Linked DNA regions of Canis lupus familiaris. The protein of the gene in region 2 interacts with the protein of the main gene of each other region in a pairwise test. Links are inferred from orthologs where the notes say so. Each region holds a gene or a part of one and is shown on either strand. Other genes may lie near its edges. The genes, in order: TMEM159 and CACFD1.

Region 1 (4,505 bases), on a different chromosome or scaffold from region 2:
TCCAAATTTCTTCTACTTCAGAGAGAATAACTTTCATGGTGTTTAAGCTGCTGTTATTTGGGGATTTTCCATTACACAGTCTGATTGTAAACTGACCTTTGAGTTATTCTGGATGGACTCTACCAGCAAAGACAGCTTCTTCTGCAGCTCCTGCAAGTCCTTTGAGGTACTCGGAGGATCCTCTTTTGCCATCCTGAAACCAATGCCCAGTCTCTTTAGAGATCAATTCTTCTATCAGTAAGCTGTCCCGGGCAGGGCACAGTTGAATCTCTCATGTCACCCAGTCTCTTGCTGTCACTGGTGAAACAAAAAGAATCTTGAACCATTAGTATAATATTCACCTAGCTAGTTCAACAAAAGCTTCTACTATCCTCACACATTGATGGTAGGTGTGCAGGTGAAGGGTAGCTTGGCAATATCAGAATTTCTAAGCACACATACCTTCAACAATGTATTTTTCAGTAATCTGAAGGAAATAATCAAATAGGTGTATCAAAACATACAAAAAGGATGTACAGTGCAATTCTATGTGTAATATATAATAAACAGCAAAACATTGGAAAGAAGCTGTGTATCAGTAGGAAATTGGTTAAATAATGATAAGTTCATAAGATGTATTACATAGTTGTTGATAATGTGGACATCTAGTTAGTGACATGAAAACACATTCATGATAAGTGAAAAAAATTTTTAAGATATCCTATATTGTTACATAAATATATGTATTTTATGTCTATATTCCATAGTAAAATAAAAGACCTAGAAGGATATAGATCATATAATACCTAAATGTTAATGGTATTATCTCTGGGGGCTTATTTTTTCAGTCTGACAAACTGCTACAAAGAATATAGAAGCAAGAAAGCTGAATACACTATTTCAAGCCCCTCATTGCCTCCCCCCACCCCCCACCAAAAACCTTTAACAGTGATGGTGGCCAACTTCTTTATTGACTACCCACACTAAACAGGTTGGCTTCCAACCTTATAGCACCATAAATCATTCTCTGTTGACTTGTAAGTGTCCTCTTAACAGGAGAGGTGTCTCAAGGGCAGACCTAGCCACAATTATACACTGTGACTCAACAGCCTTTAATTTCCAGGACTGTCCTAAGTCATGTGACTACAAAACCAATTTGTTTAAGATCTCTTTTTCAACCTTGTTGGATTTTAAATATCAACAAATATATCATTCTCATTTTTTATTTCCCAGAACTGTAGGGCTAGACACAATTTCACCCTTATAAATGACCTCCTTACTACTGATAGTAAAAAGAAAAAAAAGGGATGCCTGGGTGGCTCAGAGGTTGAGAACCTGCCTTCAGCCAAGCAAGTGATCCTGGGGTTCCAGGATCGAGTCCCATACCAGGCTCCCTGCATGGAGCCTGCTTCTACCCCCTCTGCCTGTGTCTCTGCCTCTTTCTGTCTCTCATGAATAAATAAAATCTTAAAAAAAAAAAAAAAGAAGAGCCTCAAGGATTCTGTTATAGTGATCAAAATTAACTAAGTGATGCTGACACCTGTTTACCATATTGACTTATACCACACGGTAATTATGTGAGTTAAGGGGAGAAAGTTACTTTACCAATACCTAGAGGGTCTAAAATGCAACTTAAAGTACGTTTTCGTCACTCCAGCTAGAGAGCCTTTCCTACAGCTCCGTTTGTGAAACAGGAAACCTTTGGATCTTTGAAGATCCAACTGGCACACATCTCGTATTTGGGATGTTCCCAGGACTCAGCTCTCCTACTCTCATCTCTGCAGCAGACAGAAACAAGCCCAGCTCCCATTACCGGTCTCCAGAGGTCTAGGGAACCCAAGGGCCACCCAGACCGGTTTGGGGAGTCCGATGGTAACGAGCATGGGTAGAATGTCATGGGCCACAGCCATCAAATACATCCACCTGGCTTCCAATCCCCAGCCACTCTACAGAGGGAACTCCCAGGCACTGAGAAGTCTCTGGAGCGGAGGGCAACCTGGGATCCCCAGCGCGGCTCACAAGTTCCTTGCCTTCTCCCGGGCCCTCCAGGCTGACCCAAAAGACCACTGGCCAATCCGACCCGCGGCTCTTGCATTCCAGCCCCTCCCAGAGTTAACGGCCAACCCCAGCGTTTCAGCTGGAAGGGAGAGGGGGTGCATCTCCGGTTGGGGGAAAGGAAAGCTGGGCGCCTCGGGCCGCCCCAGGCCGCCCCCTCCCCATCTGCTTACAGTCGGTCAACCCTCGAAGACGCTAGGTGGAGCAGGCGCCCAGCTTCTAGGGATCCTTGCGCAGAGGGGAAGAGAAAGAGAGGCAGGTGCAGACGGGGAGGGTCCGCACGCGAGAGAGCACAGAGGCTAAGAAAGGGGCGTTCACGGGGGAGTGGAGTACCCGGTCATTAATGTGGGGGAGAAGAATCCACCTTTGTTCCCTGGAGAGCCCCTCTCCGCGGTGTCGGTAGAGAAGAGAGACCTGCGGGAAGGAGGGCACCCATATTCATGAATCTCGGGGAGAGGGTTTGGAGACTCCCCCGCCAGGTTTCCCAAGAAGGGACAAGGTCTCGGGGGGTGGGGTGGGATGCGCTGGCAACCCTTTTACCAAATCTAGTGGTGGGTGTGAAGAAGTGCGTGTGTTCCCAGCCCGTCTTGGGGGCTCCGAAGGGTGAGACATTCCTTTTCACTAAACTGCGGACAGCGCAGGAGACCCTCTCAACCCATGCCCCCGAGCCGCTTCGTATGCCCCTCCCCGCGAGGTGACCTAGCCAGCCCGGGCACGTTGCACCCTAGCATCCGAGATGCGAATCTCACCGGTCCTGGCGGCCGCGCTGTCCAGCCAGGGTCTGCAGGCGGAGGCACAGAAGCGCGGTGGGGGGAGGAGGAAGAGGAGCAGGGAGAGACGTTAGAGGGAGGAACTCTAGTGCGCACAGGCGGGAGCTGGCGCCTGTTTCCTGCCCCACCCAGGCTGCCGCCGTCCTCCGCCCTCGCCCCGCCCCCTCACGTCCCTGGCCCCGCCCCTCCACGCCCTGACCACGCCCCCACCGCCCTGACCCCGCCCCCTCCAACGCTCTCGCCCTCCGGCCGCTCTCGCCCCGCCCCTTCCCCCGCCCCTCAGGGCTCGGCTCTCCCCGCCCACCTCCCGAGGAAGACCGCGAAGCTGCCGCGAGGCCTCCGGCCGCGAGCTCCACACAGCGCGCTCTCCGCCTCAGCATTTTACAACCACCCTGACAGGCCCTCAATAATATACAGCTGAGGAAAATGAGGCCTGCCCTACACTCTCGGCTTGGAGTGAGCGTGCACAGGCCACCGCCGAGACAGGTGCACTTGGCCTCTGAGCACGGCTTGCACAGCGTCTTAGGGCGTCCCCTGCCTAAATACCTACACCTGAACCACCTCTCCTGGAAGCAATCCTGGAGGCCAGGACATCCAGCGATGAGGTACGGCCTGACTGGCAAGTTTTAGCTACTACGACTCACGCAGGTGCCACGAACCAGCGAGAGCCATAAAGATGGGTTAGGTTATCATTTCCACGTTTTATAATTGAAAAAGTCTAAACCCAAGGCCCTTGGTTCCACGTCAGAGCCAGGCACATGTTCCCTGGCCCCAAATCCTGGCCCATAGAGTAGGGTTTCTCCAAGGGCAGCGCTATTGACATTTTGGGCAGGAAAATTTTGTACTGAGGGGGCATCCTTGTGCTGACTTTTTATCAGTGTCCCTGGCCTCGACCCACTAGATGCCAGTAGTAATCCCCTTCCTCCCACTTGTGACAACCAAAAAAATGTCCCCAAACATTGCCAAATATCCTGTGACAGGGCACAGTTTCTGTTAAGAACCACTGCCATAGAGGTACTGGTAAAGACCAGGGTCTGAGGGAGGGGGTTCCGACAGTCCTGGGCTCTCATCTCAGGGCTGGCTCTTACCGTGTGACCTTGGGTGAGTGACCTCTCTGGGCCTGGGCTTCATCTGTAAAATGACAGGCCTGAGCTTTGGCCTGCTACTGCAGAGTTCTCAGGCCTTATCCATCCAGGGACCTAGATGGACCTTCCTTTCCTCTGTGACCTGCAGCAATAGCAGCCTGGGAAACAGTCACAGGGTTTTAGTGAGGTCAGGTGCAAGAAGAGCTGTAAAGAAGTTAGTACCTATCTGGAGTATAGGAGGAACTCAAAAAGATTCGATGGTACAGTCTTCTACCAAATAGTATCTCTAGAAATAAACAGGCTGGTGGGTAAAGAAATAAACATGGGGGCAGTAATGATAAAAAGAAGCTACAGGATCCCATCTAACTTCACAACAGCCAAGAAAAGGGCAGCTAATGGTGGAAATAGGACATGGACAGGTAAGTATCCCTAAATTCTTAAGTTTCAGGCAATCCTACATGGCTTCATGCACTTTGTTCTGCTGCAGTATGGTGGATGCCCCACCTAAGAAAATGTTGACTTTTTTTTTTTTTTCCTTTAGAACAAAACATTACAACTGTCATTCCCTGGTGGGCATTGCTTTGAAAAGCTGAATTGGGGCCTTCCTTGGGATTTT
Region 2 (3,805 bases):
AAAAAAGAAAATGCAATTAGCAAAAACATTTGGAAGAACAGGTCAGTTCCTAAACAACGGACACAACTGTAAAACGGTGCATGGCCCCGGGAGGGTTTGGGCCATGGAGGTGGTGGAAATGCTGAAAACCTTTTTGGAAAGTAGCAGTCACGTACTGAAACCTTTTCAATGACTGTGCTCTCTGACTTCATAAGTGCATACCTGGAAACATATCTCAAGGAAAGCATCACAGAAAACGTGTTGGCACATCACTGTGTATTTGATTTGCACCACAGTTTGGAACTTAAGAAAAGCACGACGTCCACAGTGGAATGAGTATTCCCATCATTAAAAGTAACCTTATAAAGCCTTTGTGGTAGTACTGAAAGTGAGTGTTTATATCACGATATTAAGTGAAAAAAAGCAGGATACATATTTACTTAGGATGGAGCTAACTGTGTAAGAAACAGGTTTATTATTTTTTATTTTTTTAAGATTTTATTTATTCATGAAAGACACAGAGAGGCAGAGACACAGGCAGAGGGAGAAGGGGAGGCTCCCTGCAGGGAGCCTGATGTGGGACTCGATTCCAGCACCCTGGGATCATGACCTGAGCTGAAGGCAGATGCTCAACCACTGAGCCCCCCAGGTGTCCCAAGAAACAGGTTTAAAAGGCTCCCCATGCAGAAGTGGACAGAGACCTAAACGTTCCAAGCAATGGGGCTTTAATATTTTCCAAATCATTTTTAATGAATGTATATCTCTGTTAGTATTTTTAAAACACAGTTCTTAAAAATAAAGATCAAGGGCCCCCTGGGTGGCTCAGTGATTGAGCGTCGGCCTTCAGCCCAGGGCACAGTCCTGGAGTCCCAGACATCTTGAAATTGGTTCAACCTCATGACTCAGGTGGGCAGTGCTGTGTACCAAATCTGTTGTCAGAAGTGGGAAAATCAGGGGTGCCTCAACTGTTCAGCAGTTGAGCATCTGCTTTCGGCTCAGGGCATGATCCCAGGGTCCTGGGATCGAGTCCTGTATCGGGCTCCCCACAGGAAGCCTGCTTCTCTTTCTCTCTGTCTCTCATGGGTAAATAAATAAAATCTTGGGGAAAAAAAGAAGTGGGAAAATCAAAGGAAAGCCTATTGGAAGGTGACGGTTTCTGTTCTGCAACCTGCCCTCATGTCAGGGCACCTGTAAGGACAGTACTCTCTCCAAAGGCTGCCCACAGACGCGTCCTGTGGACCTACCAAGATGTACTTAACAACTCCTCGAGGCTGGGCCAGAGCTGCAGGCACACACTTCTCTCTGACGCAGCCCAGGGCAGGGCTCCCGCCCCTCACATCTGCAGCGCAGGTGACTGCAGCGCTGAGCTCACTCCCCGGCCGCTGCACCACTGGTCCCACTTCACAATGGCCACCATTGTGGCGCAGAGGACCCTGCACCAGGCTCACCCAGGCCCATCCTCACCAACAGCCCCGCATGCTGGCTGCTACCCATCGCCTGCCCTTGGGGTTCCTGAGTTTGGGGGTCAGCCTCCGAGCCGTCCCGGCCCCTGGGGCCCCTCACCCGCAGTAGAAGACAGCCTTCTGCCAGGAGCGCAGCCGGTCCACCTTCTCCGCCACGGTGTTCGCAAACTCAATGAACTGGCAGCAAAAGGGTGCCTCGCAGAGCAGCAGGATGAAGGCGTTCATGCTGGAGGGCAGGGAGAGAGGGTGGCAGGCTGACGGGCCTGGAGAGCAGGAGGTCCCCAATGGCCCCCCACGGCTCCTCTTGGGGCCTCTGCGGAACCGCTGCCCACATGCCAGCCTCCCTAACCAAACTGAATGCTCCAGAGGGAGATTCTGGTCTTCCCTTTATCCTCCTGTATTTGAAGGAGACAAGACCCCCTCCATCATGGCACTGCTGTCAGTAGCACTTTGCAGAGCGTGGACTGCCACTCAGCTACTAGCATGATCACTGCTGTCACCCACAGGGCCATCAGCCCTGGGAAAGCTGTCCGCAGCAGCGGCTCACCCACTGGGACAGCCCAGAGTGGGTCAGTCCGTCCACAGTCACTGAAGGCTGCCCCTCACAAAGCCCACGTAGGGAGGAGGGAGCTTAGCAAGCCCTTTTGTGCAGTATTCTTCCCCTGCCACCCCCTACCCCGGCCCGCCTTCCTATATTCGGGCTGGGAACAACTAGGGCGTGGGGACTGACTGAGGGTCTGCTCCAGTCTTCGTGTTCTCCACAGCTGGGTCACCGTCACAGACACTGGGCCCTCATGACCTACAGAGAATCAAGCTGAGGGTGCCCCAGGTGCCCACCTGAGCCCCAAGCAGGGACTCTGCACAGCCCACACTCGCCCTGGCTCTCCCTAGTCCTCCCAGCCCTTCCACACCCAGCCAGCCAGTCTCCTGACTCTACCCACTGACGCCTGGGCCCAGCGCCTTGACCCACCCCCATCCCTACTGCCTGTGGCCAGCACAGGCCTCTGGGCCCCACCACAGCAAGCCTCACCCCTGGCCTGAGTTCTCTGAGGGCAGGGCCCCCCGTCTATCTCTGTGCCCCTCCCCGGCCAAGTCCCATACGGGCACAGGCACTGCTTGGTGCACAGCCACTTGGCGCATGCGCTGGGTTGGTCAGATGCAGCCAGAGCTGCACTGGTCAGGGCTCACCCCTGCGTTCCCTTCCCACGGGATCGAGGTATCCTGACACGAGGTGGGCAGGGAATTCATCTAGGGCATTCTAACTACCTGGTCCCACACCAGCTCTGACCTGCCCTGTCTGTGGCTTGCCCACCTCCCAGCTGGAGCTCCTGATCCCAGCACCTGACTCCAACCCCACCAGACACCAAGCCTCCAACTCAGCCCTTGACTGGCTCTGATGGCTCCCAGAGCTCCCAGAGGCCAGGCCCATGGTAGTGGACATGGTGCCCGCAAAGACTGGCTCAGTGGGCACTCGGGAAATGTTTGTGACTCTGGCCCTACAATAAAGGCCTGGGTAGGAGCCTTCCAGGGCCCGGCCCTAATGAGAATCAGAAAAACCGAACATGGCAGGGTATGAAGGAGGTGAAGACCTGCCCGGCGACCAGAAATCCACATGCCCCAAACCCCACCGGGCAAGACAGTAGGTCACAAGGCTACTCACATCATCCACACGCCGGCCGCGATGTTCAGAGGGTGGATAGTGACGCAGTTGAAGAGGCCCGAGATGGCACAAGCTTGGAAGCGAGACAGGAGCAGGAATCAGCGGGGAAGAAGGGACAGAGCCTGCCAGGAAGGATTCCTTCCGACACCCAGCACTTGTTTCCCCCCCGCAGAACCCGCAAGCCTCCTCTCTGCCAGCGGACACAAGTGGGACCAATGTAACTGCCCCACACCCCAGGTGAGGATGCAGGCTCAGAGAGGTGAAGCAGCTTGCCCCAGGCCCCAGAGCAAGTGTGCGTGCAGCTGGAGGCTGGTGGGCTCAGAGGGCGTGTCACCCTCTGTCCAATCTACCACTGGGAGGGCTGGCCTCTGAACCCCAGCTGAACCCCTACCGACCTCAAGGTATTGAGGATGAAGAGAGAGAGGAGTCTAGGGGGTTCAGGTCAGGCAGGCACCACCACTCACAGGATTAGCCACATAAGAAGCCCTCTGATGCAGGAAACATGGATTGGATTTTGGTTGGGTCAAGGGCTGCCTTTCCTCTCTTGGAACAGAAATTGGGATCAGGGAGACCTGGATCACCACACCGGCTGTGACCTGCACACCAGCTAAGGAACCCTGGGGATGTTCTTGTTACTTTTGTAGGTCCGTTTTCTCTCCTGCACACAGGCAAGTGCCACAGCCCAGCCCACAGACCCCTGGAA

What was found.
Region 1: the proteins of CACFD1 (region 2) and TMEM159 interact in binary tests that used the Homo sapiens proteins (3 or more experiments, as listed by UniProt). The two-hybrid records come from large-scale screens. The link is inferred for Canis lupus familiaris from reciprocal best matches to the Homo sapiens genes CACFD1 and LDAF1.

What each region holds. Positions count from the first base shown.
Region 1 is NC_049227.1:24,499,008-24,503,512, forward strand, and holds the start of TMEM159 (lipid droplet assembly factor 1), read right to left. Parts: upstream 2,956-4,505; 5' UTR 2,784-2,955; intron 2,449-2,783; 5' UTR 2,399-2,448; exon of another isoform or gene 2,368-2,398; intron 2,026-2,367; exon of another isoform or gene 1,903-2,025; intron 298-1,902; 5' UTR 193-297; coding exon 97-192; intron 1-96. UniProt on the Homo sapiens protein: Plays an important role in the formation of lipid droplets (LD) which are storage organelles at the center of lipid and energy homeostasis. In association with BSCL2/seipin, defines the sites of LD formation in the endoplasmic reticulum.
Region 2 is NC_049230.1:49,926,409-49,930,213, reverse strand, and holds part of CACFD1 (calcium channel flower homolog), read right to left. Parts: intron 3,176-3,805; coding exon 3,103-3,175; intron 1,669-3,102; coding exon 1,543-1,668; intron 1-1,542. UniProt on the Homo sapiens protein: Transmembrane protein which mediates synaptic endocytosis and fitness-based cell culling.